Diceros bicornis minor: one gene and its partners. The protein of the gene in region 3 interacts with the protein of the main gene of each other region in a pairwise test. Links are inferred from orthologs where the notes say so. Each region holds a gene or a part of one and is shown on either strand. Other genes may lie near its edges. The genes, in order: PHOSPHO2, RFC5 and NAB2.

What was found.
Region 1: the proteins of NAB2 (region 3) and PHOSPHO2 interact in binary tests that used the Homo sapiens proteins (3 or more experiments, as listed by UniProt). The two-hybrid records come from large-scale screens. The link is inferred for Diceros bicornis minor from reciprocal best matches to the Homo sapiens genes NAB2 and PHOSPHO2.
Region 2: the proteins of NAB2 (region 3) and RFC5 interact in binary tests that used the Homo sapiens proteins (3 or more experiments, as listed by UniProt). The link is inferred for Diceros bicornis minor from reciprocal best matches to the Homo sapiens genes NAB2 and RFC5.

What each region holds. Positions count from the first base shown.
Region 1 is NC_080749.1:51,308,169-51,319,114, reverse strand, and holds the start of PHOSPHO2 (pyridoxal phosphate phosphatase PHOSPHO2), read right to left. Parts: upstream 3,943-10,946; 5' UTR 3,873-3,942; exon of another isoform or gene 3,809-3,872; intron 3,363-3,808; 5' UTR 3,329-3,362; intron 1,536-3,328; 5' UTR 1,362-1,535; intron 1-1,361. Other genes in the region: CFAP210 (cilia- and flagella- associated protein 210), read left to right, coding at 3,943-4,174, 4,236-4,343. UniProt on the Homo sapiens protein: Phosphatase that has high activity toward pyridoxal 5'-phosphate (PLP).
Region 2 is NC_080774.1:15,030,361-15,041,317, reverse strand, and holds the start of RFC5 (replication factor C subunit 5), read right to left. Parts: upstream 4,805-10,957; 5' UTR 4,715-4,804; coding exon 4,644-4,714; intron 3,189-4,643; coding exon 3,124-3,188; intron 2,583-3,123; coding exon 2,446-2,582; intron 751-2,445; coding exon 671-750; intron 10-670; coding exon 1-9. UniProt on the Homo sapiens protein: Subunit of the replication factor C (RFC) complex which acts during elongation of primed DNA templates by DNA polymerases delta and epsilon, and is necessary for ATP-dependent loading of proliferating cell nuclear antigen (PCNA) onto primed DNA.
Region 3 is NC_080756.1:11,802,906-11,812,982, forward strand, and holds the start of NAB2 (NGFI-A-binding protein 2), read right to left. Parts: upstream 4,329-10,077; 5' UTR 4,117-4,328; coding exon 4,040-4,116; intron 2,598-4,039; coding exon 1,724-2,597; intron 1,277-1,723; coding exon 1,143-1,276; intron 809-1,142; coding exon 757-808; intron 664-756; coding exon 531-663; intron 326-530; coding exon 134-325; intron 1-133. UniProt on the Homo sapiens protein: Acts as a transcriptional repressor for zinc finger transcription factors EGR1 and EGR2. Isoform 2 lacks repression ability.

The DNA of each region.
Region 1 (10,946 bases), on a different chromosome or scaffold from region 3:
CAATAATCTGGACATATGTGAGTAATCACATTACTTATGATATGACAATTACTTAAATCTCTGCTTTCATTAAAAGATAATGAAGGTCGTTAATTATAAATCTCAAGAGAAAAGGCAAGAATAAACTAGTCAACAGATGGTATGGACGAAAGTTATCACGTAAAAAAGATAATTATACAGAATACCCAGAAAAAGCTACAATTTGTGTGTGTAAACAAAAAAATTTTTTTAAAAAGAGTAATTAATATTTTTAGAGCTATCACTATACACAGGCACTGGACTAAGAACTTTACAATCTCATCATCTAACTGTCATAACTCTATTAAGTAGGAATTATTATTCTCATCTTAAAGATACGTAAACTGGAGCTTAAGGATTAAAGTGGTTAAGTATTAGTTAAGTGGCAGAGCTGGAATTTGGACTCAGGTCTGCTTGACTCCAAAGTTCATGCTTTTAAGTATCACGCTCTAGAGCCTAAGAAATAGAATATTTAAAGACTATTAATCAGTTTAAAAATAAAATACTAAGGTCATTTTGACGAAAAGATGTTTCATTACATGAAAACATTTATTAGTCTTAAAGTACACACTAACCATAATACCACATCTGTGATCTACTTTATACCTATTGTGAGCATTTAGCAAGAAATCCTAAAAAAAAAGTGAAGAACCCTACCAATAAGAAAAGAAATCAATTAAAAATGGAAAACATGGCATTTAACCACATGTATTCTCTGGTTTGTAACAACAGATATCCAGTAGATGAAATTGAGAATAGAGCTCATGACTCATATAAAGGCAAGTATTCTGAGTCTCTCAGTTGAGAATCTCTGGAGAACAACTAACCGAGAGAGTATCTCATGTTGTGTGAATCTCATGTTGTGTGAATTTAGACAGTCTATAATATTTTGATGCTCTGGATCCTTGTACCTCTAAATGTCTAATCCAGGTGTTTCTGGCTGGCTCCCAAAGATTTAAGTGCAGAATTCACTTTCCCATAGAAACAATATAATAAACAGCAATAAGGCATAGTTGACAATCATATTAGTACTGTACCTAGGCACATTTTAAATTAAACATGCTTTTTTTAGCATTCTGAATTTATACATAATTTTAAAAAAAAATTTCAAATGTAACTCTGGTGACTGAAACTACCTCAAGCCTAGATTTAATTAACCACAATTTACTGAAATTCCTGAACTATGAATCTCAAAATAATGAGAAATGTTGTAAGCCAGAAGTTAACATAGTTCCACTGTTGACTATTAATTTCTATCTAAAAGTGTACATTTCTTAATTTCAGATCTTTTTCTATTAGTTTTTTCTCACCCCTCAACATAAGCTTTTATTAAGAATACTTACCCAACTTAGTATTTCCAAGACAATTAATCTTACTTCAGCATAGAGCCTAGGTTAAATAGTCATGACAGTCTTCAGTTTTAAACACCAGCCAGTTTCTAACCAACATTGCTCCTACTCTGTATCAGGGAACAAAGTCTTCTGGTTTGGAGCAAAGGAATAGAGACTTCTTAACTCCTAAAATTAATAGAAGTATTTAAGATATTTTAAGATTTATGTTTTGTAATTATGTAGAAAATTATATTTTCTCTTACATCAGAAAAGCACTTACTGGCAATGGGACACACAAAATTTTGATTAAACAAAAAGCTTAAATACAAAACAGGGAATGTTACGTGAATGTAAGTTTTTGTCCAGTGGATAAAATCACAAGTGTTAGGCTGATTATGTCGAGATTTCCAGATTCCATTTTTCTTTTTACTTGTTAAATAATAGACAAATACCACCTTCTGTTGTCAATAAACTTTCAAATATTTAGTGCTATACTTGAAATAAAAATGTCTCCAAAAATTAAGGATGTGCATAAAGATTTAATTTTAAGAATATGAATCTATTTTGAAACCAGTTTGTTAAAATTTCAAAATAGTTATTAACTATTCTCTCCAAAAGCACAAGCAGTATATATTTGGTATGTCTGCAATGTTTCCATAGTCTAACAATAGCATATGTGCTTTTTACAATAATGTAAACTAGAAACTTGATAGACATCCAAGATTTGGGGATTGGTTAAATAAGACATGTATGTGAGAGCTATATAATGGAATATTTATTTAGCCAGTAAAAGCTAAGATGTCCAGTTCAAATTAAACAAGCAAGTCACAAAACAGTGTGTACAGTATAATCCCATTTCTGCTTTTAAAAAATAAATTTCTACAGTGGTAGGATCATGGGTGGTTCAATTGTAGTGCATTTTTTTTCTACACTGATTTTGTAATAAAAATATTTTCCCCAGAATAATTTTTTTTTTTTTTTGCTTTAGAAGATTAGCCCTGAGCTAATATCTGTTGCCAATCTTCTATATATATATTTTTTTTGCTTGAGGAAGATTAGCCCTGAGTTAACATCTGTGCCAGTCTTCCTCCACTTTATATGTGGGTTGCTGCCACAGCATGGCTGATGAGTGGTGTAGGTCAGCGCCCGAGATCCGAACCTGAACCCAAGAGCCGAAGCAGAGCTTGCCGAACTTAACCACTACACCACGGGGCCAGGCCCTTCCCCAGAATAATTTAAACTCTGTTTCAGATCAAAGTGCATATGCCACCTTCTTAATTGCACAACACAGAAAAAAAAAAAGGAGTAGAGGTTGTGGAAGGATAAATAACTAACTCTAGATGGTGTGGCTGTAAAGAAACATAGGTTAGAGTTAGAACCAGGTGTTGGAAATCAAATGATATCTGACCACCATGTCAAACTGGCAAATTACTGACATCAAATCTTATAAGAGTTAATATTTTTCATAACCAATTTAGTTAAAATTCCAAAGAATTTTTGTTAGGAGGTAATTCCCCATGGGTTTCTAGTGGTTCTGTATGTCTTACAAGCAAGGCAGTCACTGCCATTTGCTCTGGATTATTGTCTCAAAAATGTATGTATAGTGAACAGCCTGAAAGGCATGCTTATCGTCCATTATAATAAAGATTTGAGTCCCTTAAGCTCAGGTTCCTGTCCTGTAATGCAACACACTCCACGTGCAGGTCACTTCTGGCACTCTTTGCATCATCCTGTGGGAACTGGGGCAAAATTGCTGATATTCTGGCTACTGCTACTGCTGTAATTCATCTCTGACCTAGGGGTCTGTGTCGTCTACAAAACTGTGGCAGACTAAACTGTTAGCTTGCAACTGGGGTAAAATCGCTGACTCATCCCAGTTCTGGATATTTTTAAAACTATGCTTCCACAGTGCCACCAATGTTGTACGTGCAAAAACTAATTTCTGTCAACAAATATTTTATTAATCCTTTCATACTTACCAGCATTATTACGGTGGAACATCTGACAGAAAACCTGAAGAAAAACAGTACAACTATGTATTAATGATTAAAAATCACTTTAGTGATTAAAAATCTAAACTTCCTTTCATTTTGAGCAACTCCAATTTGGTGCCATGTCCTAGCCAACTAGCTTGTAATGAAATCATTTGTACCTCAATGTGTTAGAAAAGGATTCTTTGAAACCAAGCCTGCATCCACTCTTAACAGATTTTTCTGTCCTTAGAGGTCTGACTGGTCTCCCAAATACAATTTACTATAATGTATTTACCAAGCAATTTAAAGTATCTTAAAAGTCCTAACATGAATGTTCTGGGACAACCAAGTTTTTAACATTCCTGTTTTTAAAAAACTAAGCCCCATCTAGCTCAGGCCATGCCTTAGAAACCCAAGTATTTTCAAACAGGTTTTCTGTCAGTTAATCTATGGGTTTCTATAGTTAACGAGGGCTTTGCCCTTCACCTTCCACGCGCGAGGAGGTCTGTGGGCCGCACACACCAAGCCTGGGCCTCGCTCTCCCACACACCTGCCGGGTCCGCCCCGAAGGTAGGTGCAGGGACCTCGTTGGGGGTCGTCCCCCGTGAGGCCAGCGTTGGATGAGGACGGCAGCAGCAGGCCGGTTCGGGTGCCCAGGGCTCCTCAGGGACCCAGGCCGGCTGGCCTCCGCGCCACTCCTGCCTACTCTGTCTTCCGGTTTCGCCCCGGCGCCTGCCCGCGAGGGCAACCCTACTCGCACGCCGGGCCTCGGGGTCCTGCGCAGGCGCAGCCTCCGTTCTCCAACCCTACGGCCGAGAGCAGCGCGTTCTTCGTTCCTCGGCGACGGCTGCCGTCACTTCCGGCGGCGTTGCCAAGTAACTGCGGGGTGTGGCAAACACTCTGCGCCTTTGAGCCCGCTGTGCTCCACGTCGGAGTCGCTTTTCTGAGAGCGCCGTGGGCACCTCGTCAGAGATGTTGGTGCGGTTCGGAAGGCGCTGTGGACAGGCGAAGGAAAGCACAGGCGAGCTAAACGGGCCCGTCCCGGCACAGGGCGTGGGGTGAGAGGCGAGGTGCCAAGCGAGGGCTTTGGTTACCTTCGGAAATGGGCTCCACCAAGTCGAAAGCAGCTCCGTGCATGTTGGGCTCTACGTAAATCAGACAGCTTTGCCCTCAGGTGAATAGGTAGATGGGAAAAGTTTACAGAAACAGGGGTGGAGAAAAGATAAGTCAGAGACTCTCAATTAACCAGCTCCGAGAGTCTGGTGTTGGCTGAATTTTCTCGCTCTTAAGCTTTGTTATTCATTAGATGAATGGGAATAACTTTTGGAAATATCAGTGACCTCATTAGAGTCTTGGCTCTGCTGTGAACCTGCTGAGTGCTCTTAGGAAAGTCTCTGAAGGAAATGTCTCAATTTCCTCATTTCTAAAGTGAAGGTAAGGTCTCACCCTAAGGCTAATGCTTTGATAGAGTGTAAAAAATAATGCTACTTAAGGTATTGTAATTCAGATGACCTGATACAAAACTTTGATTTTGGAATAGAAGTAGCCTAGTGGGGCATCTAAAGAGCTCTTTATCAATTGCAGTGATTTTAATTTCTTAAGTCTGTAAATTCCCAATTAATGTCATGGTGACGACTAGAACCTTGGGAATTTGGACTATCTTTGTGTCTCTGACTGAGCTTCTTTATCAGTAGTGCCCCTTGTGCCAGATGCAGAGTGAAAGCCAGACATTATCCCACCAATGGACACTAGTGGGTGTTCATGCGGTGGAGGACTTAGGAAGTAGTAGCAGAGGGTCATGACATGTGGGAGAGAGACAGTACCCATGTGGCATGTATTGAAAAAACAGAATTACTGCCACATATTCACTTTCCTGTCTATGCAGTACTTACCTGTCTGTGCAGTCTGCACTAAAAGACTTAGATTTTTAAATTTTATTTTATTGTATTTATTTTTTATTTGTTTCTTTGTTTTGTGAGGAAGATTGGCCCTGAGCTAACATCTGTTGCCACTCTTCCTCTTTTTGCTTGAGGAAGATTCGCCCTGAGCTAACATCTGTGCCAGTCTTCCTCTATTTTGTATGTGGGTCACCGCCACAGCATGGCCACTGACGAGTGATATAGGTCTGCACCAGGAACTGAACCTGGGCTGAGGAAGCAGAGCACACTGAACCTAACCATTAGGTGAAGGGCAGGCCCCATAAAAGGCTTAGATTTACCTGATAGGTGTTAAATAATGTTTTGTGGCAGTTGGTCCACAAGTTTCCATCTGAGCCTCACTGCTGAGTTATAATTTCCATTTGCAAGAAGGTGAAGTAGGAGAGGAGTCCAGATATATAGACAGCTGTCTGTAAAACATATAATTATCTAAAGATTTAGTGAAGTGACATCAGCCCAAATGGTGGAATACAGGTCTCCAGAAGTCCTCTCCTCCATTAAATCAGAAAGAGACTGGCAAAAATTGTCAAAATCAACTTTTTGAGAACTCAGGAAATTAAACAAAAGCTTGCAACAGTTGGGAATGTTTATCAAATAAAGTAGCCGAATCTTGGTAACAGCAGTGAATTTTTGGCATTTTAACTTGCCCCAGTCCCATACTTGTCTCCCAGCCCCATGGTAATCTAGAAAACCACTACAATCACAGTGAAATCCAGTGGCTTAGCAACCTGTGGAGGGGACAGAACAGGGTTGGACCCCCTCCAAAGCCCGTTTCCCAGATAACTGTTATTATTTGACCTATCTGGCAGTTCCCTGGAAAACCTACTTGCAAGGCTTATCGTTATTTGACCTCACTCAGAAATCACCAGGTATGTTTATTGAAACAATCAGTGGCAATTTTTTAACATCACAGCTGCCTGAGGACAATATGCTAAGTGAAATAAGTCAGAGAAAGACAAATAACATATGATCTCACTTATATGTGGAATCTAAAAAGAAAAAAAACCAAACTTATAGATACAGAGAACAGGTTGGTGGTTGCCAGAGGTAGGGGGTGAGGGTGGGAGAAATGAGCTGAAGGGAGTCAAAAGGTACAAACTTCCAGTTATAAAATAAGTAAGTCCTGGGGGTGTACTGTACAGCATGGTGACTGTAGTTAATTATACTGTATTGCATATTTGAAAGTTGCTGCAAGTAGATCTTAAAAGTCCTCATCACAAGAAAAAAATTTTTTGTAATTATAAAAGGTAACAGACGTTAACTAGACTTATCCTGGTGATTGTTTCACAATGTTTACATAAATCATTATGTTGTATGCCTAAAACTAATATAATGTTATATGTCAAATGTACCTTAATTAAAATAAATAAATGAAATTTTTTTAAAAAAGAAGAAATCACAAGGGAAATTAGAAAATACTTTGAGATGAATGATATGCATACGCAATATACCAACATTTTAGGTGCAACTAAAGCAGTGCTTACAGGGAAACTGTAAATACATGTATGTATTAGTTGGGGTTCTCCAGAGGCATAGAATCAATAGGATGGTTTATTTATGTATATTTATGTGTATATTTATGTATTTTTATTTATATATATGTATATATGGGGGGAGGGAGAGAGAGAGACTGAGATTGATTTTAGGGAATTTGTTTATTTGATTATGGAGTCTGGCAAGTCAGAAATCCATAGAGCAAGCTGCAGGCTAGAAATTCAGGGGAGTTGATGTTGCAGTCTTGAGTCTGAAGGCTGAAAACTCAGGCAGAATTTCTGTGTTGCAATCTGGAGGCAAAATTCCTTCTTTGGAAAACCTCAGCCTTTGTTTTTAAGGCCTTCAACTGACTGGATGAGGCCCACCCACATTATGAAGAGTAATCTATAGGCATACCTCGTTTTATTGCACTTTGCAGATATTGCGTTTTTTACAAGACACTCTACCAGCAAAAAGATGATGAGCCACTAAAGGCTTAGATGATGGTTAGCATTTTTTAGCAATAAAGTATTTTTAAATTAAGGTATGTACATTTTTTGTAAACATAATGCTATTGCACACTTAATAGACTACAGTAGAGTGTAAACATAACTTTTATATGTACTGGGGAATCAAAAAATTGGTGTGACTCACTTTATTGTGATATTTGCTTTATTGCGGTAGTCTGGAACTGAACCCACATTATCTCCAAGGTATGCCTATGCTTTACTTAAAGCCAATTGATTGTAAATACTAATGGCATCTAAAAAATACCTTTACTGCAATTTCTAGACTACTGTTTGACCAAACAACTGGTGACCAGAGTCTAGCCAACTTGACACATAAAATTAACGATCACAATGTATTTTTTTTAAAAAAGGGAAAGATCTCAAATCAATAACCTAACATTACATGTTAAGAAACTAAAAAAGGAACAAAGAAAACCTAAAGCAAGCAAAGGAAGGAAATAACAAAGATTAGAGAGGAAACATGAATTAGAGGATAGAAAGGCAGTGGAGAAAATCAGTCAACTTGAAACTGGTTATTTGGAAAGATCAACAAAATTGACAAACTATTAGGTGGACTAAGAAAAAGAGAAGACTCAAATTATTAAAAGTAGCAATGAAAGAGGGGACATCACTACTGACTTTACAGAAATAAAAAGGATTATGAGGGAACATTATGAACAATTGTATGCCAAAAAATTAGTTAACCTAGATGAGATGGGAAAATTCCTGAAGTGACACAAACTACTCAAACTGACTCCAGAAGAAATACAAAGTTTGAATGGACCTCTAACAAGAGATTGAATTAGTAATTGAAAAACTTCCCACAAAGAAAAACCCAGAATCAGACGGCTTCACTGGTGAATTCTGCTAAAAGTTTAATGGGGTATTAACAGCAATCATTCACAAACTCTTCAAAAAAAAAAAAAATTAGAAGAGAAGGGAACACTTCCCAACTCATTCATTGAGACCAATATTACTCTAATACCAACATTAAAGATATCACAAGAAAAGAAAACTACAGACCAATACCCTTATGAATATAGATGCAGAAATTCTCAACGAAATACCAGCAAACCAAATCTAGCAAAATGTAAAAAGAATTATACACCATGACCAAGTGGGATTTATCCTAGGAATGCAAGGTTGGTTTAACATCTGAAAAATAGTTGAATGCTCTATATCAATAGAATAAAGGACAAAACCACATGATCATCTTAATAGACACAGAAAAAACATTTGGAAAATACACATCCATTTATGATAAAAACAACAAATTATGGATAGAAGGGAATTTTCTTAACCTAATAAAGGACATCTATAAAAAACCCACAGCCAACACCATACTTAATCGTGAAAGTCTGAAAACTTTCCCCTGAAGATCAGGAACAAGAAAAGGATGCCCACCTTCACCACTTTTTTTGTGTGTGTGTGAGGAAGATCAGCCTCGTGCTAACATCTGCCAATCCTCCTCTTTTTTTGCTGAGGAAGACTGGCCCTGGGCTAACATCCATGCCCATCTTCCTCCACTTTATATGGGACGCCGCCACAGCATGGCTTGACAAGTGGTGCGTCGTTGCGCTCCTGGGATCCGAACCGGCGAACCCCAGGCCGCCACAGCGGAGCGCGCGCACTTAACCGCTTGCGCCACCAGGCTGGCCCCTCATATTCACCACTTTTATTTAACATTGTACTGGACATTCTAGACAGGACAATTAAGCAAGCAAAACAAAAGGCATCCAGATTGGATAGAAAGAAGTAGAACTATGCATATTCACAGATGACATGATATTTTATGTGGATAATCCTAAAAAAAATCCACTAAACAACTATTAGAACTAATAAAAAAGTTCAGTAACATTGAAGGATACATGATCAACATACAAAATTCAATTCTGTTTCTATACACTTGCAATGAACAATCTGATAACGAAATTAAGAAAACAATTCCATATACAATAGCATCAAAAATACTTAGGAATAAATTTTTCTTTCTAAGAAAAAGGAATGAGCAAAACTTACACTCTGAAAAATAGCAAAACATTATTGAAATAAGTTAAAGATTTAAATAAATAGAAAGACATCCCATGTTAATTAATTGGGAGACTTAATGTTGTTAAGATGGTGGTAATCCCCAAACTGATCTACAGATTCAATGCCATCTCTATTAAAATCTGCCTGGCTTCTTTGTGGAAATTGGCAAATGATTCTAAAACTCATAGAAATGCAAGGGACCCAGAATAGCCAAAACAATCTTGATCTGAAGAACTAAATAGAAGGACTCACACTTGCCAATATCAAACTTACTACAAAGCTACAGCCCTCAAGACAGTTTGGTACAGGCGTAGGATAAACATATAGACTAATAGAATAGAAATAATGAAATAAGCCTATACATCTATAGTAAATTGATTTTGACAAGGGTGCCAAGACAACGCAATGAGGAAAGAATAGTCTTTTCAACAAATGGTGTTGGGATAACTGGATATCCATATGCAAAAGAATGAAGTTGGATCCCCTGCCTCACACCATATCCAAATATTAACTCAAAGTGGATCGTAGACCTAAATATAAAAGCTAAAACTATAAAACTCTTAGAAGAATACTTAGATGTAAATCTTTGTGACCTTGGGTTTGGCAACAAATTCTTAAATATGACATCAAAAAACACAATCAGCCCCCCCAAAAAAATAGATTTGGCCTTCATCAAAATTAAAAACCATTGTGTATCAAAGGATATTATCAAGAAAGTACAAAGATGACCCACAGAATGGGAGAAAATATTTGCAAATCGTATATCTGATAAGGGTCTAGTATCCAGATTATAAAAAACTCTTAGAACTTAATAATAAAAAGACAACCCGTTTTAAAAATCGACAAATTATTTGAACTGACATTTCTCTAAAGAACGTATGCAAATGGCCACTAAGCACATGAAAAGATGGTCAGTATCACTAGCCATCAGGGAAATGCAAAGCAAAACCACAGTTTACCACTTCATACCCGCTAGGATGGCCAAAAAAAAAAAAAAGACAAATGTTGCCTAGGATGTGGAGAAATTGGAACCCTCACACATTGTTGGTGGGAATGTTAAAATGGTGCAGCCACTTTGGAAAACAATTTGGCACTTCCTCAAAATGCTAAGCATAGAATTATACTTCTACTCTTAGGTATATACCTAAGATAATTGAAAACATGTCTCCACACAAAAACTTATACATGAGTGTTCATAGCATTTTTCATAATAGCCAAAAGGTAGAAACAACCCAAATGCCAACAAAATGTGATACTTCTATACCATGGAATAGTATTCAGCTATAAAAAAAAAATTAAGTACTGATGCATGCTACTTTGTGAATGAACCTTGAAAATATTATGTAAGTCAAAGGAGCCAACATAAAAGGCCACATATTTTATGATTCCATTTGTATGAAATGTCTGGAATAGGCAAATCCATAGAAATAGATTAATCCACAGGAAATAGATTAATGATTCTCCGGGGCTGTAGGGAGGGGAGAATGGGGGGAATGACTGCTAATGTGTCATTAGCAGGATTCCTTTCTGGGGTAATGAAAATGTTCTGGATTAGATAGTGATAATGCTTGCCCAGTTTTGTAAATAGACTAAAAACCACTGAATATTACCCTTTACAATGGCGAATTTTATGATATGTGAATTATATCTCAATAAAAAAAAGATTTTGTAAAC
Region 2 (10,957 bases), on a different chromosome or scaffold from region 3:
AAGCCTTTCCTAGGAAAAAGAACAGTACCATCTCAAAATTTCTTCCCTCTCACTTCAACTTCCAGGCACACCTACCATCAGGCCCTGTCTCATAAAGTCCATTTCGCCTGTAACTTTGACCAAAGCAGACATGTGTGGTCACCCAGACAGGAGACACCCCATCACTCCTTCAACTCTTAAAGGGAACTGAAGTCTAACTTCTGTATTTTTGTTACGCTGTATCCTCAGGCACCTTCATTTTTCTTCTGCATAGTAGCCTATTACTCAGTGCTGCTTTTTTCCATCACCTTCCCTCATGCCTTTTTCATCTTTTTCTTTCTTTTTTTCCCCCACCGTCCTAATTATCTGTCCCAATCTCAATTCATTTTTGTTTAAATTCAAACTAGCTCATCCAGTCTTAGACTGTAATCAGTCCTCAGTTAACTAATAAAATGAAATTAATGCTTCCCCAAAGAACTTGCTAATATAGGTTTAGATAATATCTTATTTTAATACTTACATTTTAGTATTTCTTACTACCTTCCCTGCAATTTATTTCTTTTTCATGGCTGCTTTTGACAAAGTTATTTTTTTTTTTTACCTTTAACTGGCAAAGGGGAGGATTAAAAAAAGGTCTATCCAGCTCATGATCAAAATCTCTAGGGAGAGAAATTATGCAAATAATTCTTACTTAAATATTGTCCTTGTGCTAGCAAAGCTCAGGACTGGTCCCCGAACGATATCGATTCCTCGGTCATCTGAAGCATTCAGCTAAATGTGGGAGAGAGAAGCCAGAATAAATAAAAAACATGTTGGTGTGCTATCTACGTATTAATGTATCCTTTCATCAATCTAGCTCAGTAAGCTAGGTCTCTAGGTTTAATGACAGCTAACAGATAATCACTATTAAAAAAAAACAGGGGCCGGCCCCGTGGCGCAAGCGGTTAAGTGCGCGGGCTCTGCTGTGGCGGCCAGGGCCGCCAGTTCGGATCCCGGGCGTGCACCGACGCACCACTTGTCCAGCCATGCTGTGGCGGCGTCCCATATAAAGTAGAGGAAGATGGGCATGGATGTTAGCCCAGGGCCAGTCTTCCTCAGCAAAAAAGAGGAGGATTGGCAGATGTTAGCTCAGGGCCGATCTTCCTCACACACACACAAAAAAAAAGATCACAATTATATTTAAAACTCATAACTCACTAGACCATTACATAACATTCTAGAAGGCAAACAACTTTTTTTTTCTCCCCCTTTTGAGGACAATCACTGACATAAACTGAAGGAATAATTAATTGGCCTGGTCACACTGAACAGCACCTCTGGTATGAGAATGATGCTAACTTTAGCTACCACAACCCAGAGCAACCCGGAAGTTACCAAGTTTTTAAGACATGGAAGTAAGAATGTTGGTGGCAGCAAGATTCTAAGGTCTATATGAAAAAAATAAGTTAAACTTTTTTTTCTTGCGAGACAATCTTTAGAATTTTGTAATCTAAGTGTATCAGTCGAGGTCCCAGAAGTAAACAGATGGCCTAACCAAATTAAGTAATTTGGAGAGAATTAAAGGCAGAGATATTTCATTTTATTTATTTTTTTGTGTGAGGAAGATTAGCCTTGAGGTAACATCCGATGCCAATCCTCCTCTTTTTGCTGAGGAAGACTGGCCCTGGGCTAACATCTGCGCCCATCTTCCTCTACTTTACGTGAGACGCCGCCACAGCATGGCTTGACAAGCGGTGCGTTGGTGCGCGACTGGGATCCGAACCTGCGAACCCCCAGCTGCCGAAGCGGAGCAACTGAACTTAACCACTATGCCATCAGGCCGGCCCAGGAAGAGATATTTTAAAAGGTGTTGGTGGGGTGTGGGGAAACCACAAGGGCTATGTGATACCTCAGGGACTACTGGGGCCCATTACCACCCCCAGGTCTTATGGGGTCAGGGGCAGGACTGATATTGGCACCTGGGGAGGGCTGTGTGATGCGCCCTGCAGGTGGGGATGCCGCCAGCCTGTAGTGACCCCCAGGGCAGGACCCGGCATTAGTCTCCTTCCCCTGACCCCTGCCAAGGCCTCTACTGGCCAAACCCAACCAGGAGCCAGCGGGCAAGGGAGCTTGTAGTCAACACAGCTCAGCTGCCCGGGGCAAGGACAGGGCGGAGAGACGTGGAGAAGCTACCGGGAGGCGCACATGGGAAACAGCCAGCAACTGACAGACCACCAAGTGTTTGGGTAAAAGGTGGCAACAGCAAAAAAAAGAAAAATAAAAAACAAAGCCTAGCCCTACAACTGCCCTGTCGCTAATGCCAATCCAGACAATTATAGAAAAAAGTGAACTGAAATATCTTATGTTATGTCTGCTTCTTTCCCAACTGCCAGTAGGGCAAATGACTTTTAAAGTAAAAGGAAACTAGCAGAACTAAAAGTAAGAGGCTGGCGTCCTTGATAGACTAAGAATAATCTTGTTATTTACCTCTAAGACCATGGAGCCGAATTCTTTCTCTTTGTACAGCTGTTTAGCACAGGCTAGGATGGTGGACGTCTTTCCTGTCCCTGGAGGACCATAGAGAAGCAGGTGCGGCAGCCGATCTTCACTGATAAATTTGTGAACTGAGGATTGGGAAGAAAAAGAAACACCGTCAGTCTCTGCGAGTTGCCTCATTCACTGTGGGCCCTACGAGTTGGGCTGAATGCACTTCAGCCCTATGTTCAAACCAGAGGCAGGTGCAGGAATGAAAAATGGGAAGCACTCAATTCTTTTCTTTTGAGGAAGATTGGCCCTGCTCTAACATCTGTTGCCAACTTTCCTCTTTTTCTTTTTTCTCCCCAAAGCCCCAGTACATAGTTGTATATCACAGTTGTCGAGTTGTAGCTCTCTCTATGTGGGACGCTGCCTCAGCATGGCTTGATGAGCAGTGAGTAGGTCCGCGCCCAGGATCCGAACCAGCAATGCCAGCCGCCAAGGGGAATGTGACACACGAACTTAACCGCTGCGCCACAGGCCAGCCCCTTAAGGACTCAAGTTTTAAAGCCACATTCCATAAAGCTCAATCAGATTCTTCACAGTTATTACTCAGTAGAGACAACATCACCAGGAAATGTATACAGGTCCTTCGGCTAGAATAACAGCAGCTGTCACCTGGATACTTACTGGTACTCAAAATGTCCTGATGAGAAATAAGATCATTCAGTGTCTGCGGCCGGTATTTCTCAACCCTAAAATACAATTTAGCAAGGATTACAACATACATAAATTAAAGAACATTTTGGTATGTGCAAAAGAATCCTTTCATATCCTCACTAAAAGAGGAAGAGGAATAAAACCCTTTAGGTTTGAATTTAAACCAGTGGTTCTCAACCAGGGGTGATTTTATCCTCCAGGGAACATTTGGCAATATCTAGAGACATTTTCCATTGTCACAACTGGGTGGATGCTCCTGGCATCTAGTGGATAGGCCCCAGGGACGTTGCTAAACATCCTACAATGCACAGGACAGCCCCGATGCCCTCCCCCCGACAAAGTATCTGGCCCAAAATGTCAGTAATTTCTAATTTCACCTTTCCAGCTGTCTGCCTATAATCTCAACCTGGATGGGCAACTATTATTTCAAAGTGAATTCAAAATTGAACTTGTACCCAAATATACATCAACAGATGAATGAATAAATAAATGGTAGTATATCCATATGATGGACAGTGAAAACATTATGCTGAGTCAAAGAAGCCAGTTAGTTACAAAAGGCCATATATTATATGATTCAATTTATAGGAAACGTCCAGAATAGGCAAATCCATAGAGACAGAAAGCAGATTAGTGGTTGCCAGGAGGCGCTAAGGGAGGGAGGAATGGGGAGTGACTGTCAATGGGTATGGGGTTTCCATTTGGGATGATGAAAATTTTTGAAATTGAGATATTGGGATGGTTGCACAACTTTATGCAATTGAATTGTACACTTTAAAATGGTTACAACTGTAAATTGTATGTTATGTGTTTTAACCACGATAAAAACAAACTGAACTCGTTATTAGACAAGAACAACTTGGAGTTTTCCGACAGCAAGCCAAATCCCATCCAAGTCTTTAAAGCATCACTAGGATAGCTATGGAAGTAGGATGGTTAAGAGTGCAAGCTCTGAATCCAGACCTCCTGGGTTCAAACCCAAGCCTATTTTCTAGCTCTGGACCTCAGCCAAGGCATTTAATCTTTAAGACACAGTTTCCTCAAGTGTAAAACTGGAATAATGACAGTATCTACCTCCCATGGTCTTTGTAAAGATCAAACATCTAATAGGGTGCCTGCTAATCTAATAGAAAGCCGTTTAAATAAGTTAACTAGGGAGCGTTATTATTATTATCATCATTATTTTACTTAAGATTTTGGCAAGAGGGAATGACGTTTTGGCACAGAGGCCAATGCAATGTCAAAAGACGCGGGATCGACCCCTTGTGCAGATGCGTGCGAAAGCCGCTTTCCTCTTCGGGCAAAGGAATCGGTGGGTGGGGAACCCGGCAAAAGTCCTAAATAGAACGGAGCGGGGTGGGGTGTCGAGATGAACCTCTGTGGCTCCGCCCCGGCCGCAGGTCCGGGGGCAGCGGGCCCGGCCACTTGCCCAGCTGGGCCACCGCCTCCCCGCGCGGCCCAGCCCCTTTCCCGGCAGCCGGGCCTCCTACCAGGGCAGGTTCCTGATCTTGGCCGCCGCGGGCTGCTGCTGCTGCTGCTGCTTGTGTACGGAGGTCTCCATGGCGGGGAGACGAGGGTGACCAGGTCCGCTGGGGTCGTCGCGACCCCCAAGGGACCTGCTCAGCGACCAGCGCGATCCAGCGCAGGGACCCTAACAGAGTTCGCGCGCAAACGTAACTCTCGCGAGAGTTAGCCGCCTGCTTCCGACTTCCTCCCTTGGTCCCGCCCCCTTTCCGTTGCTAAGGCGCAGGTTGCCAGGTTACCGGGAGGCGCCGGCCGCCACCCTCCCTCCGGCTCCGCCCTTCTAGCCGGTGCTGCCCTCTCTGCCGCGCCAAGGGGCTTCCCGAGCCCAGGGAGAGGGGGCGAGGCGAGGCCACCCCCTGCAGCCGCCAGTCATCACAAATTAAAGTCTCACGGCCGAAGCCCAGTCCAGCCATCACCAAAGTTCAAACACCGTTCAAAGGAACAGAAAGCTGCCAGCGCTAAAGAATCCTTAGGAAAAAACAACCCCAAATGACACGGCCAATACTTGAAGATGGATGCCCGTTTGAAGAAAAGGCTCACAATACCTTTTGGCCCCCAACCTGGTAGTAATTCGAATTCAAAAACAACTCCAAACAAACGCAACTCCAATCCGTCTCCCAAATCCGCGTCCCTCACCCAACAAAATGTAGAGAACCATCCTCCAGAAACAACTCCAGAGTGAAAACAAAAAATAAACTTCCAGTTAGGTTAATACGGTAACCGGAAAGCGCTAGTTAATAAGCACAGAGGACGCGTCCCTCGGATCTGAAGATACTGAGGAGCATCGGTCTCAAAATCCTAGTGTTTTTCTGAGGTGAGGGGATTATAGACCACTTTATTTTCTCCTATTTGGCTGATCTGTGTTTCCCGGCAATGAGTGTGTGTTACATCCATAATAAAGTTTTTGTTTTTGTTTTTTAACATGTTGGGAAAGACAACAATACTGGGAGGAGATGAGGCTGCCTTGGGGTCAGAAGTGTTCTGATTCAGAAGTCGCAGCTCCTTGCGTCTTATTATTATCACTGTCACCTGCTTTAGGAACAGAGTAGAGGGACACTGGGGAAATACATGAGGGCAGTTATGGCTTCACCCTAGCCCCTGCCTGGGGACCGAGAAGAAGGAGGTGAGATGTGGCTTGTGGTATGACAGTGCCCTATTCTCTGCTTCCTCCCAGGCCAACTCCGACACTCGTTTTTCAGATCCTTAGCATGCCTCTTCCCCCCCCCCCCCCCAGCCTTGGGCGGGTTACTTCTCTCCTCATCCAATAACATCTGCTCCAAGATGGTTGTGAGGATGAAATGAAATAACATACGTAAAGCTTCCAATGCACTGCCACCTCACTCTCTCCTTCCCTTCGAACATACTCTCCACCATCCTGTTCTTGTTCCAAATGTTCCCTCCCAAACAAAATCTAAAGAATTGGCTGGTGTGACTATGCCTGTGAGGGTTAATTTTATGTGTCAACTTGACCGGGCTAAGGGATGCCCAGAGAGATGGTAAAATATTATTTTTGGAGGTGTGTCCCTAAGGGTCTTTCTGGAAGAGATTGGCATTTGAATTGGTAGACCGAGCAAAGGAGATCCCCCTCATCAATGCCGGTGGGCACCATCCAATCCATTGAGGTCCTGAATAGAACAAAAAGGCAGAGGAAGGGTGAATTTGCTCCCTTTTGGAGCTGAGACATCCATCTTCTCCTGCCTTTGAACATCGAACATCGGCACTCTTGATTTCCAGTCATCTGGATTCAGACTGAATTATACCACCAGCTTTCCTGGGTCTTCAGCTTGAAGATGGCAGATCATGGGACTGCTCAGCCTCCATAATTCCGTGAGCCAATTCCTATGATATATACACCTTATATAAATATCTATACAAATATGAATATATAAAATATATTAAAAATATTAAATATATATTTATTATATAAATATATTATTAATATAATATATATTTATTGTATAATACATAATATAAAATATATTTTAAAATCTACATAAATATAAGTATAAATATAAATTTTGTGTATCTATATATTCTATTGGTTCTGTTTCTCTGGAGAACCCTGACTAAAAATGCCATTACCTGGGCTTTATTCAACTACCCTGGTAAGAGCCATCCTGCTAAGGGGCCTTTGCATTAGAAACATGATGTTGCCACCTCCTTGAGCTAGAAGATATGAACAGACTGGACCAAGTTCTCATAAAACTCTGTGTGCACCTGCTGTTCAGTTTGCGGGCAATGCAGAATTCTTCTGTGGGACATTATATTATATATTTACAAGTTCGTCTATTGTGTGCCTCCCCCACGGACTGTAACCTCATTGAGAGGTGAGGCTTTCACTTATTCACCACTGGACTCCTGGTGTCTGGAATACTGCCTGGCTCAAAGGAAGCACTCAATAAGTCTTCCATGAATGAGTGAATGATAATAGCTACTATTCATTAGGCAGCTACTATGGGCCAGACACTGTTGTAAGTCCTTTACATTTATTATACTCACTCAATTGTTGCGATAGTTCCAAGCTATATCACTGGCCCCATTTCATAGATATATTAGGTAACTTGCCCACATTCTGACTTGGTGTAAGGGACAGAACTGGATCTTATCAAGACAGTGTGATTCTATAGCCCAAGCTCTTAGCCCAGTGCTAGTGTGGTCCCTGCACCAGCAGCAGCAGCCCCTGGGAACTTGTTAGAAATGTTAATTATTCTTCTCCCCACCCCAAACCCATTGAATCTGAAACTCTGGGGGTGGGCCCAGTCATCTGTGTTGTAACAAGCCCTCCAGGGGATTCTGATGCGCTCAAGTTTGAGAACCACTGTCCTACCCTCTACTGCTTCTCAATCCGTGAGCTCCCTATGACTTCACTTTCTAAGAAAAAGAAAGGATACTCACATGCATTTTTCTGGAAAAACAAAGGTGTCCTATTAAATGTCATTTGTATGCGTGTGGTTTTGTTTGTTTCTGTTTTTGCTATTAATTGAAGGTATAGTCCTTTGGGCAAGTTACTTAATATCTCTTTGGACCTCAGTATTGGCACTTCTAAAATGGGCAGGGGCACGGGGCTTGACTAGAGAGAGGGATGGCATTAAAAGCACCTGAGGATTTTAAACAAGTCCAATGCCAGAAGTCCAGCCAGACAAATTAAATTTGGCCTGTGGGGTGGGACCGGGCACTGGCATTTTAAAAAGCTTCCCAGGTGATTCTAACATTCAGCGAAAGTTTAACTACTGTCCTGGACGAAGCCAATCACAGCAACCCTAGTCCCCTGATTGGCTTAAAGGGTGAGCATGTGACCCAGTTCTGCCCAATGAGATGTGAGGGGTAATGGTGGGGGGGAGGCGCCTCTGGGACGCTTTTCTCGTTACTTTGCAGAGCCTTGCGCTAGATGGTCCTTAGCTTCTCTCCCAGTGCCAAAGTTCTGTTACTTTAAAGAGAAAGCGAGAGATAAAGCCTGGAGTTACAGGCTCATATGTCTATAAATAGTCTGAAAGTTAATATATAAAGGAAGAGGGTTCGGTGGAAATTATGCCCTGCCTCGAGGGGGCGGAGTTTGTAGATGGAAGATTTAAGCAGAAAAGGAATGTAGCGACGAAATATTGGATAGCTCATAATTAGTAGGAAGGCTGGAGAACCTGGTTTGGAAAATGGGACAAAGACAGGCCATGGAACTGAAACCATGGTCAGAATTACTCCATGGAACCATCCAGTAAGGAAACTGCTGCTGCCGACCTTTCCGTGCTACTACTCCTAGAAACCGAGTGTTGGTTTCACCGTTTCTACTGTGAGAAGGAATTTGCCAGTTCTCTCCTGTACTGGATTCTTCCTAAAACTAGTGCTCCATTAAGAGCATGCCTAATTGGCCAGGCCTGGGTCACCTGCTAGCGCGTACCAGTCTACAGCTTGAATGGTGGGAAATGACGTCTTCCTCCCACCAGGACTTGTGACCTGGGACATCCCTAAACTTAGGATGGGGGCTCAGATGCTGACAGCCGAAAGGATCACACATGTCCACTACAAGAGTGTTCAATCAGAAGGGACAGTAGCCAAATGTTGCCAGATCTTCTGATTTTTCAAGAGAAACCAGAAATTTGGATTTTTATGTGCAATTCCTGTATGTTAAACAATGGCAACTAATTTAAAAAACTCCTGGCCAAGTGATCACGGTAGGATCACTTTATGACTTGATTTCTCAAGGACAGATGATCAGGCAAAAGATGTAATAATTCCTTGTTATCCTCATCTTCTGCCTGGATTTTAGCCCTTCTGGAGGATTGAGGACAAATCAAGCTGGCATTTCCTTGTGACTTGTGACATTGATGAGCGCAGGCACAAACTTTTCTTATACAGTCCGAACCAGATTTGGAAATGCTTTAATAAAACATCAGGTCTTGAAGATGGCAGGATCAGAGGTTACAGACAAAATTACCAACAAAAGGCATTGGATCTTAAAATTGAATTAGGGAAGGGGAGCCCTGGATTTTATTACTCTCAGCTTTGGAACAAACTTGGCTTTGGACACAGCACTTACTGCCTTCGTTTATTTTTAAGACTTGTTCTTATGAGAGAATGGGATGTGAGGCTATCTTTGGAAGATGCTGGCAGAAGAAAATCAGACTGGGTCTTTCTCCTGAACGTGTTTATACTGGTGAAATCATGTTTAAATGAAGAGCAAGCATGTGAAGGAGGAGAAAAATCTCAAAGGGCAACTTGAAGAGTGTTTATAAGGGAAAGGGCCATCTTCTTTGGTGGCCATGGCAAAATCATTGACTGATAAGGAATTTAAATCTCCAGATCTTTTGGGGTACTTCTCCCCTTCAAACACTTTCTTTTGTCAGAATCCCAAAAATGCCCCGCATCGGGGCTTAGGGAAATCCATTCATCATCCCTTCACATTTGTTGATTAAATAACTAATGAATGGTTATTTATCAGTTCTTGAATCTGATTCTCTTTAAGTTTCAGATTCAAAGGCTAACTCATATGAATTTGCTCCATGACACTTGGGCTCAAAAAATTTCACGTTTCTTTTTTTTTTTTTTAATCTTTTTTATTTATTTATTTTCCCCCCAAAGCCCCAGTAGATAGTTGTACGTCATAGTTGCACATCCTTCTAGTTGCTGTATGTGGGACGTGGCCGCGGTGCATCGGTGCGCGCCCGGATCCGACCCGGGCCGCCAGCAGCGGAGCGCGCGCGCTTAACCGCTAAGCCACGGGGCTGGCCCTCACGTTTCTTAATTTTTCTAAATTAAATATATCTGGCTCAAGGTCCTCCACCATTCCTTCTTCAAGCCAAAGTAGTTTGGAAACTCAATCTATTGAGGGTTGGGAGTTGAGTTCCTTCCCTTCCGTAGGATCATTCAAGAAGCCTAAGGGGCCGGCCCGGTGGCGTAGCGGTTAGGTTCTTGCATTCCACTTTGGAGGCCCGGGGTTCGCCGGTTCGGATCCTGGGCGTGGACCCACTCACCACTCATCAAGCCCTGCTGAGGAGGCGTCCCACATAGAAGAGCTGCGATTCTACAACTATGATACACAACTATGTACTGGGTCTTTGGGAAGAAAAAAGAAAAAAAAAAAGAGGAAGACTAGTAATAGATGTTAGTGCAGGGCCAATCTTCCTCAAAAAAAGAAAAGAAAAAGAAAGAAGCCTAAGAGTTTGCGGGGAAATAGGCCAGCAAATGTGGGGAAGGGCTTTTAGTCTTCAGTTCCTTCTGTGGGAGTAGATGCTCTTTGTACAGACTGACATGATCCCTTTGAAGATGGGCAGCTCTGTTGATAATAGCGTCCTTTTCTCAGTGTACAACTCAGCCACCCAGAACTTCTGTCATGGCTCCCAGTGCCACAAAGTTTGAGGCTTAGACTTCTGTGTGGCCCTCGTTCCACGTTCTTCCACCTACTCCTCCTCACCCCCGACTACTTAAAGTGAGGTCCAGGGACCAATAGCATGGTCCCTGCTACTTGGGAACTTGTTAGAAATGCAGAGTCTCTGGACCCACTCCAGACCTCCTGAATCAGAACAGCATTTTAACAAGGTCTCCAGGCAATTCGACTGCACATTTCAGTTGATAAGCCCTCAATACCACAGAATGTCTCTCTATCCCAGCATCTTGCTCCTCACCCCTGTTCTGCATCTCTAGTGTGGAATTCTTCAGGGAGTTGGGCCACTCGTCTCTCACACAACATTCCCACCTCCTCCTCTCTAAGGGCCTAGCATTTTGATAATTCAACTCCAGGTCTCAAAGTTCCTAGGCATCCAGGCTCCCCAGAGCCAGGCAAACCCAG
Region 3 (10,077 bases):
GGAACCCGACTATCCTACTGCCCTCTCTGGTGACTATGTCCTTCTTCCTCCCACCCGGCCCCAGGACACCAGGATTGCTGTGTGGGGCCTGGGTGGCAGGGGTGCTTGGGGACAGCACTGCTGGCTGCCTCACCTGCGAGAGGCGGCTTCGCAGGCACACAGGGGCTGAGGCGGCCCACGCGGTCGTGGGAGACGAGGCGGGCTAGCCGCAGCCCCTCATCCATCAGTGTCTGCTGCAGGATGTGGCGGCTCCACAGCCCATGGGCTGGCAATGCCAGAGGCAGGTCAGCAGGGGGCGGCGTCAGCCTTGGGCATGACCCCACAGCTGTGGGCATGGGCACGGGTCAGGTAAGGGACTACCGTCAAGGGAACCCCCACCCTCAACCGCATAGGCAGACCCATAGGCCCAGGCCCTTTTGCTCCCATCCAGCCAGGCCTCCCATCCCTGTTCCAGGCAGTTGCCTCCTGGCTCCCTCCTCCCACCCCCTCCGCCCCCCAGTGAGGACAGAAGTGTTCTTTTGCACACTCACCCTGCAAGTGTCCATCTAGACTCTCCCCAGAAAGGCTGGCACTGTCTTCCTCCAGGCTGGGGCGGTATGGGGGTGCATAGGACTCGGGGCCTGGGGGAGGCTGCTGGATTTCAGAGTGACTTTGCTCTCCAACCTGCGGATGCCCCGAATGGGGAAATGAGGACCTGGCAAGGGACGGCGTTGGGGAAGCCGCCCTAACCCACTACACGCGCCCTGGAAAACCTACCTCCTGTTTCAGCTTCTTCAGTGGGGGGCCTCCCAATTCTTCTGGGTGGAGTCTGCAAAGATGGAGAGGAATAAGGAGGATGAGGCTGGAGAGGGACACATGATAGGCAGGGCACAGAATCTGGGGAAGGGCATGCATCATTTCAAGGCTCTGGAAAGAAACTGGCTGCGCAGGAGTCTCCAGCTCAGGTACTACTGCTGTGGCAGGGGCGGGTCAGAGGGGACCTGAGATGGAGAGGAAGAGGGGCCAGACCTCAGACAAGTGGACTTGGCCAAAGGGAGGACATGCAGGTGGGTGGGAAGCAGGCACCTGGACTAGAGGTCAGAACGTGACCTGCTCCTTGGCAGGATTCTCATCTAGGAAAGACCTGGAAAAGGGGGTCTCACCTGGAGCCCTTCAAGGAGGACAGGTAGGTGCTCTCTCGGGCCACTTGGCGCGACAGGGAGAAGAGCTCCACCCTCCGCAGTAAAAGCGTGTTGTCCCTCATGCAGAACTGGGCAGCAGCCTCATTGATGGTTAGCTGTGGAGAGAGCCATCAGAGCAGTCAGATTCCCAACTCCCCCACTGCCTGGCTCAGACCTCCTCACACCCCTTCACCATCAGACAAATGAGGCCCATCCATCAGATCCTAGCTTGGGTTTTCACACTACACAGGAGCTTTGTGAGGCAGAAAGACAAGAGATCAGCACCCACAGCTTCCTAGGAATGCCAGGGGCCTCCTCGACTCCTGTGGGGTCTTGAGCAGCACGGAGCTGGACAGCTGGGCTGCTGTCTGTGTCTCTGCTTCCCCCTCAGCTGAAGAGGACAGCACTATAGTGGCTGGGGAAGGGGTGTGTGGGGGAGGGGATCAGAGCCTGGGGTCCTGGTCAAGGAACAATGAAATGGACTTGGGGAGTGTGAAGATTCTCAGAGTGAGCAGACTGAGGCCTGGGAGCTAAGGGCAATCCTGGCAGGCTGGGGTCCTTACCTCATGCAGGCTGAGCTGCTTGCCCTCGCGCCGCTTGGAGTCGAAGCGGCCATAGATGATGCTGTACTTGCGGATTTCCTCCTCCTTCTGGCTGTCATTGTCGTCCATCTCAAAGATGTGCCCTACGCTCCGCGCCAGCTTCTTGTTCAGCTTCAGCAGGGACGTGACCTCCCCAGCATCCCCCCTCGGGAAACTCCGGAAGATCCTCTCCACACTCTCCACCACCATGCGTACCATCTCTGGCTCCAGTCGATCTGGACCAGCCCCAGCCCCAGCTGCTGCCAGCCCCCCAGCCCCAGTCCCCTCAGGGACTCCTCCCCCTGCAGGTGGGGAGAAGGGGGGTGAGCTAGCCTCCTCTTCGCCTCCCGCCCCAACGTCGGACTCAGGGGTGCTCCGGCCTGGCCAGATCCGGGGGTCCCCTGCCCCAGGTCCCCCAGGCAGTGGTGACAGCTTCTCTCCAAGTTCAAGGGGGCTCTTGGGACTAAAACTGCGGGCACTGCCCGCCTTTTCTCCTGGGCTGCCGTGCCCATTGCTCATGCTCCCTTTCCGGGTGCCCGCAGTCTCAGAGATCTTGAAGAGTGGGATGCTGGAAACAGGCACAGCAGGCACTGGTTGGCTGAAGAGCCCTGGATTGGTGGCCCACTCTCTCAGTGCCTTCTGCAAGCGTCGAACGTGGAGGGGCTTGGTGGCCATGCCCACGAGTGCCATGATCTCCAGGAACTCCTCCTCACCCGCCTCGCACAGTTGCTGCACGTCGTCCCCTCCCTGCTGGATGAAGGTCTCGTAGTAGGAAAGCAGATTGGCGCGCTGCAGAACCCGGTACAGCTGCAGCTCCCCCAGCGTCCGAGGCAGTGCCATGGCTCGGGCACTGGGCCTGAGAAGGAGGTGCACAAGAAGGGGGGGGCAGTCAGTGCAAGGCCCCCTGCTCCGTACCAACCCACACTCACAATTATCCTCTTTCCTGCCTGCTTCTCTGCCCTCTCTCTTGAATGCTGTCTCTGCCCAGCGCCCAGGCCTGAGCAGTCTGAGAATCAGGCACTGCCCAGAGGCACAGACGTGCCAGTGCCATCCGACTGGCCAGAAGGACCAAAAACCGGCCCAGTCTCTGCAGAAATCAAAGGCTCTTGATCCCCATCCTCAGCTTTTACTTTTCTGGCCTGGGGCAAGGAGACCTTGAGCCCTGAGGCCAGCCAGCACACCCCTGTGAAGGCTGGACCGCACTCTCCTGCAGAACATAGTTCTCATCTTCCACGCTCAACACCCAGCAGTCTCAACCTTACTCAAGGTGACGTCCCACACTAAGGTGAATGCAGGACCCCTGTCCTCTCCACAGTGGACACCTGGGACCACTGCTGGCCAGCTTCACTCTCTGGTGGCATCCTGACCCTGTGGTTGAAAGGGGGGTGTGTGGCCCTTTCTCTGCCCTTTCCCACTCAGTGAGGGTGCACCCCTGCTCCCCTCCCCTCAGCTTTTCTCACGAATTAGGCATTCTTAGCGCACTCTTGCTCTCTCCCTGGGGACCTCGCCCCTCCCTTCCAGACTGCCCAGTGCCCCTCAGTTGGCCCTTCTCCCAGCAGTGACCTTCCCCACCTGCTCAGTGGAGCTCCGCCCGGGGGAGGGGAGGAGTGCCTCAATTGTTCTGCTCTGGGGCCCGTTCTGCCCACACTCACTCCCACGGTGTTGGCGTCTGTGGGCGAAAACCGCCCGGGGGCTCCCGCCCACCCTCCTCTCTTCATTTTCCATCTGCATTTTCAAGTGGAGTGGGGGAATGGCTCAAAACTTACTGCGGGAGGGGCTGCAGACCGAAACTCCCCTCCCCAGGCTGCAAATAAACGCACAGAAATGGGAAGGAACACCTAAGGCATCCCCTGCTTCTCCACGGCCCCGCTGATGCTCTCTTGGCTCAGAGGCGCCGGCTTCTCCCGGACCCCGGCCCGCGCGCTCCGTGCCAACGACAGACTGAGCCAGCTGAGTGGCCCTCCCCGGCACTGCTGCCAGCTAGAGCTCCAGGGCTTCCCCTGGCGCTGGGGAGCCCCCACGTTCTTTGCAGGGGGCTCAGCTCACATGCTAGGTCATACCCACAGAGTAAACGGGGGATGGAGAATGAGGTACTATTCTTTCATATCCAGCTTCATCAGATCCCTGCCTGCTCCCAGGGCCCCGAATTCGAAGACGCACCCCCTTTTCCATCAGTCTCCACCTCCCACCCCCGTCCCGCTTCCCCTGGTCCTCTCCTCGACCTCCGCCCTCCAGACCCCTTTCCCGAGTCCAGCTCCACCCATCTCCACTCTCCGCCGTCTCCCTTTGCCCACTAACTTGAGTCTGGGCTGCGGGGTCCGGCGGGCGCTGTCCCCTCCGCCTGGCTCGGCTGCGGGGGAGGGCGCTCTGTGCATGGAAGGCTGGAGACCACCGGGGCCGCCCCTCTCGGTGCCCGGCGCCTGGTGCGCGCTGCGCTCCTCCCGGCGCGCGATGCCGTGTCCACCGCTGTCCGGGCTCCGTCCCTGCCTCCACGTCTCCTCTCTGCGAGCCTCCGCGCCTCTGTCTGTGCCTCTGCCCCCCCCTCCCCGGCTGCGCTTGCCGCCTCTCCGCGCCTCCGCCCCCGCAGGACGCACGGGGAGCGAGGCCCGGCGCTGCGCTGGCTGCCGGGCGGGCGGAGGGCGTGGGCAGAGCCGGGGGCGGGGGCCGGGGGCGGGGGGCGGGCGCCCGGGCCTCTCGGCCGGCCGGGGAGACGCCGCGGCTGAGACGGCGAGAGGCGGAGACTGGGGGGAGGGGGTGTGGAGCAGGAGGCGGGGGCGGGGACGCGGAGCCGGGGCGCCGAGTTGGGGACTGGGGTGAACGAGGCCAGGCTGTGGAAGGCGGGCTTGGGGACCCAGCGGGCGGGGCGAGGTCGCTCCGTGCCGCCCACGCCGGATGCACAGCCGGCCCTCTCCGCGCCCACGTAACCACGTGAGCGCCCAGCCGGCGACATTCCTACTCCCCCCACCACCCCTACCCCTCCAAGTGGAGTTTCACAACCACGCACAGGTACACAAAGACACAGAGAAGCGCACGGACGTGCACACGCGCATCAACAACTACGCGGACGCCCGCTGCCCATACTCAGGCCTCGCGGGCTGTACGTGGGAATGTTAGGAGTGAGCCGGGAAAAGTTGGCGGAGACGGGTGCGCGGCTCCTCCCGTGCGTGCATCTGACTCCCATAGAGTGGGCACTTATGGCTGGTCTGTGAGCGTGGGGCTCTGCGGGAATCCCTCAGATATCCCAGCCCCAAAAAGAATAGTTTGGAAAGGCCAGTTCTCGGAAATCCAGGCCGCCTCCATCTCTGCCTCGAGTCCACGCCGAAGTTCGGGGAACAGGATTGGGCGGGTTATGCTAAAAGCTACCACTTAGACGCACGCTGATGAGGCGCGTCGGGGTTTGTTAGCGATTAGGCCAGGCAGGGATGGGAGGGGTATCCGCCTTCCTCTACTCGTCGCACCCTATTTGCTGAGAGTGGGGACCTGCTCCTGGGGAATTCTGTGTGGGAAAGCTGGGATAAGGAGGCTCCCCTTTTGGGGACGTCTTATTAGGGGACTTTGCCCGAGAGAGTCTAGTGGACGATGGGCAGGAGGCCGGGAGCGTCCGACGTGGCTCCATACGGAGGAGTTGGAGGGAGGCGCTCCTTCAAGGAGCCTGGCCACCGCGCCCCCCGTCGCCGCCACCCACTACCCCTCCCCCCTTTGTTTCTCCTAGCCCCATCTGGTTCCCATTACACTCCCGCCCACGGCTGGGAGGGCTAGAGGGTGGGGACAGGCGGGGGCTCTGAGGGCCCGTCCCAGTGGCTTTAGGCCCCGGGGAAAGGAGGTGGGGGAGAGGGCCGACTGGAAGCGAGCGGACTGGCCAGAAGCAAGGTTCCCCCAAGTCCGACACCCCAGCCCCGCCCCGCCATTCCGCACGTCTGAGTGGCCCGGGCCCGGCAGGGCGTGGGTGGCGTGGGCGGGGCTGGTTCTACATTCCAGCCGGGCGAGGGGACCTTTCCGTCACGGGGGGGGGGGGGGCGGGGACGGGTGCACCACATAGGGGGATTTAGGTAGCTAAGATTCTCTTCTCCATCCCATTAAGCCTCAAGCACAGTGGAGGGTGATAGGAACGCGCCGAGTGCCCCCTTTCAATCCCCTGTTGTCCAACTGGAGGGCACGGCTAGACGGGCTCACTCCCAGATCCCCTCCGATATGTGTGGGCACCCCCTCCCCCACTCCCCTCTGGTTATTTTGGAGCCTGGGTTGCCAGCCGCTGGCCCGGGTTTCCACGTGCCTCCTCCCTCCTCCTGCCCACGCTCCCCGTGACGCACATCCTTCGCCCACGCAGCCTGTGCTCCAGGCGCCCCCCTCCCTCCCACCCAGACCCCCGTGGGGCAGCGCTGAGCCCCTGGGTCCGGAGAGAGACGCAGGCCCGGGAAGAGGGCGGAGTAGGGCGTGAAGCAGGGGGGCGGTAACCAACTAGGCGCCGAGCGCCTGGGTCCCGGCCCAGGAAAGATGACGAGGGAGGGGCCGATTCTGGGGCTTCCACTCCTCGGTTCTAGGGCGGGTATTCGGCCAGAGAGGGAAGAGGGGAGAAAAATCCCGCGGACTGTTTCTGCCCACTCCCCTAGGGGAGTCAGAAGGGATTTTTCTGAGTGCGAACCTGTGTGTGTGAGTGAAACTCCCTAGTGTTTGTATCCCTGTTTCTCAGGGTTGAGGTTCAGATGAGAGGATGTATACGAAAACTCTGTAAATTGGAAAATTCTAAGCAAATTGAAGACGCTATTGCCAGTTTGTGCCTCTGTACCCTGAGATTATGTATTTATATGTCTTTAAATCTACTTGTGTATCTGTGTCTCCGTCTTGCTTTAGGTTTGTATGTGAGCTCCTATGTGTGGATTTAAAAATACATACATTTAAAAAATCATTGACTTGTCAAGCCCCGCCAGAGGCCGAGAGCGCCCCCGCAGCTGCTGAGATGTCTGTTCTTCGCTTCCCTCCCACTCCTACCACCCCCAAGTCCCCTCCTACTCCCTTCCGTTGAGAACAAGGAATTTCCAGCTTTTAGCAAATGGAGAGAGACTGAGACGAAGACACGGAGACCATGAGAAACTGTAGAAAAACACAAAGATAAGAGACAGGTTGGGGGCGGGGTGGGGGGATGACAGTAGGGGTGGGACGAATACAAAAATCTTAATTTCCTCTCCTTTTCTTCATGGTTCCCATTCCCTCCAGTATAGGTTAGGACCACTTTCTTAGGAGACTCACCTGCTGTCCGCCCACCTCAGTGAGGTCAGGGGCACGCAGAGCAGAGCAACGGATCCGTTTCATCAAAGGTTTATTGCCTACACTGGTCTCTTCCAGGAAGGGAAACAGTATCCTGAGTCCCAGTTTTCCAAGAACAGGGGAAAAGATTGTGAAGAAAGTGGGTGGAAGAGGAGTGAGGAAACTGCTAACCAGAAGGATTGTGATTCCTAGGCACGGGTAGCTTTTCATCTAGCAGATTGCACTGCTCACCCCCCCCCCCCGCACCCCCCCCAGGTTTTCACCAGGCCTAATCCAGCTCACTCAGCAAGCTCTGGCTCCAATATCACCTTCCTGGACCCTCTCCTGCCTGCACGCTGTGCTGCCTGCACCCCTCTAGGCAGAATTAATTGCTCCCATCCTTCAGTTGCCTCACGGTTCTTTGTACACATTTCAATAACGCATAGTTGCTTGTTTCGCCCTCAGCCCAGGACCTCTCCAGGGTAGGTCTGGTGTCTCGTGGGCCCTCTGAAATTAATGAGTTGATGATGCTATTTCCAGGCCTGAGCAACTTTGAAAAGGGCAATTGACAGATTTTACTCAAAAGGGGCTGAACCTGGGCAAAACTGTGTAAGTGGAGGTATTTTTCCATGCCTCCTTCCTTCTTCAAGTTTCCAGTCTCACAGGTCTGGCTCCTTGCCCTTCTAAAATGTCCACTCTTCTGATAAATTAATTCATACTCAGGTACTAAAGGTAGACGGCTGAAATCCTTGCTAGAAACAGAAATATATGAATATAAAGTAATGATCCTTTTTTCCTCTTTTAGTAACATGTAAGAATTATAATCTAAGGAACATTGTCATTCAATTTAGTCATTTTACAAGGGGTGATGCTTCACCCCTCAAAGACTGATAATCCTAACTTCTGCCTTTAAGGAACTCATAGACTAGTAGGGGAGATAGACATATAAACAAATAATTACAACGTAGGACAATAATAAGGGTACAAACACTGACCGAAGTATAGGGGACAAGTGATGTCTTCTGTACGGGGTTGTGAGGGACTGTAATGTTGCAGCCTAGGATTTTGGAGTATGGATAGGAGATTTCCAGGAGGAAGGGACAGTCAAGTCAGCAGAATATAAACTTACATGGAGGTATGAAACAGAACGATATCTTTGAGAAACTAGAAATTGTTCATTATTGCTGGATGGGGGGTGGCAGTAGTTAAAAACGAGCCCAGGGAAGTGGACAAGGCCATTGAATTAAGGATATTATAGACTAGTGCTTCTCAAACTATAAGAAAGGACCAATTAAAAAAAATTTCCAGTCTATAGTCTATACTTCTATAAAATACACTAAAAGTGAATTATCGAACAATGAAATAAAATCCCTATTTTTATTAGATTCAATAAATATTTTTGTCAAATTGCTGTAAAAGTTTCTAAATGTTTACACTTAAATTTCTGAAATTGTTTCATTGCAGATTGGTAATAAACTTTGAATAGCGCTGTTGTAGTTGTTTCTTTACATCTATGTTTTAGATCATACTAAAGACCTTGGACTTCATCACAGGAGATTTTTGGGGAACCATAAAGGCTTTATAACCTGGGAGTGACATGGCCAGGTCTGCATTTACTATAGTGTGGAGGAAGGGGTTTATGGCTGCAAAAAACAGCAGGGAGGCCAGCTTGAAGGAAACTAAAGTGGCCCAAGTGAGATATGGCAAGGTGCTAGACTAAATGTCTGGCATGGGATGGAGAGGAGAGGATAGATTCAAAAGGTAGTCAGAAAGTAAAATCAATAGGACGTGATGATTGGCTGAGGGGTTGGGGGAAGAGAAGAGCTTAGGGTGACTCCTGGACTTCTAGCTTGAGTGACTGAGTACATGGAGTGTCTTCATTAAATATTCACCATCTGTAATCCTTTTCCTAAATTAAAACGAATGAAAACCAAAAGTTTTTCATAACTCATTTGACAACAAAACCTAATCTGACCTGAACTTATTTTGTGGCAGACCTCCTAAACTTTCATTATTTATAGTTTCATTTATCCCACTTTTGTTTATCCCAATGTGAATATTCATATATCTCATTGCAGAAATATTAATTTGTTTGATTACGGTTGCTGTCCCAGACCCCACTGGGACTGTTGCCTTATGTATTGTATATGTATATGCACCGTATATGTTTCTAAAATCCAAAAAAATTCTGAAACATTTATATCCAGATTTCCCACCCTATTTACTCATCAGTCTTGGCCTGAGTTCTTTGGCTATTTGCATAAATCAGAGCCACCTGCAGATAATGAATATTCATTGCAGTGTGTGCTATAGACTCTGAAGATGATTCTCAAAGTGTTTTGAGCAGTGTCCTCGTTATTAAAACAAGGCTAAAAGCTTCTTGAGTGACTATCTCGAAGTGACAGAACTCATTTGGATGGTAAAGTTTAATGGGACAGCCAGTCTTATTATCTATACCTCGTTTACATATTTTAACAGCCAGTGATCTTCTGGAATTAGTTTCCAAACCTGGAATTAGTTCTCCTGTTCTCTGGCCTTTATTCACAACCAAAGAGCGAGCTCTGAATGGTGAGAATTTGGGGCCTGGTAGAAAATGTGTGTGTGTATGTGTATATACTGATAAATAAATGAAAAGCAATGGGATATATTGGAGTATATGAGGAAGCCATTTGGTTTAAAACTAATTCAGCCTGATCTTGTTTTTCCAAAAGGGCCTGACATGTCTTGTTGAATATACATTGTATATCTGTTTTAAACATTTACTATGCCCCAAAGACAAGAATGATGCCCCTAAAGATAGGGATGTAGCTTCCCCCCATATCACCATTTCTTTAAGAATAAGCATCTCTTCCTGGGAACTAAGGATTAATTACCGACCTGCTGTGCTCACCTTGTGACCACTGACCTGCTGACCACTGACCTGCTGTGCCAGCTAAGCATCTCCTGACAGAAGTAAAAGAGATATTCCTGCCAAATGTGATGTATGCTTTGTTCCAAGACAGTATATAACCACTCTGTACACCCCACTTCTTTGGTGCCCTTTCTTCCTTGGGGAAGGAAGGCCCTGGGCTATAGTCTTCAAACTTGGCTCA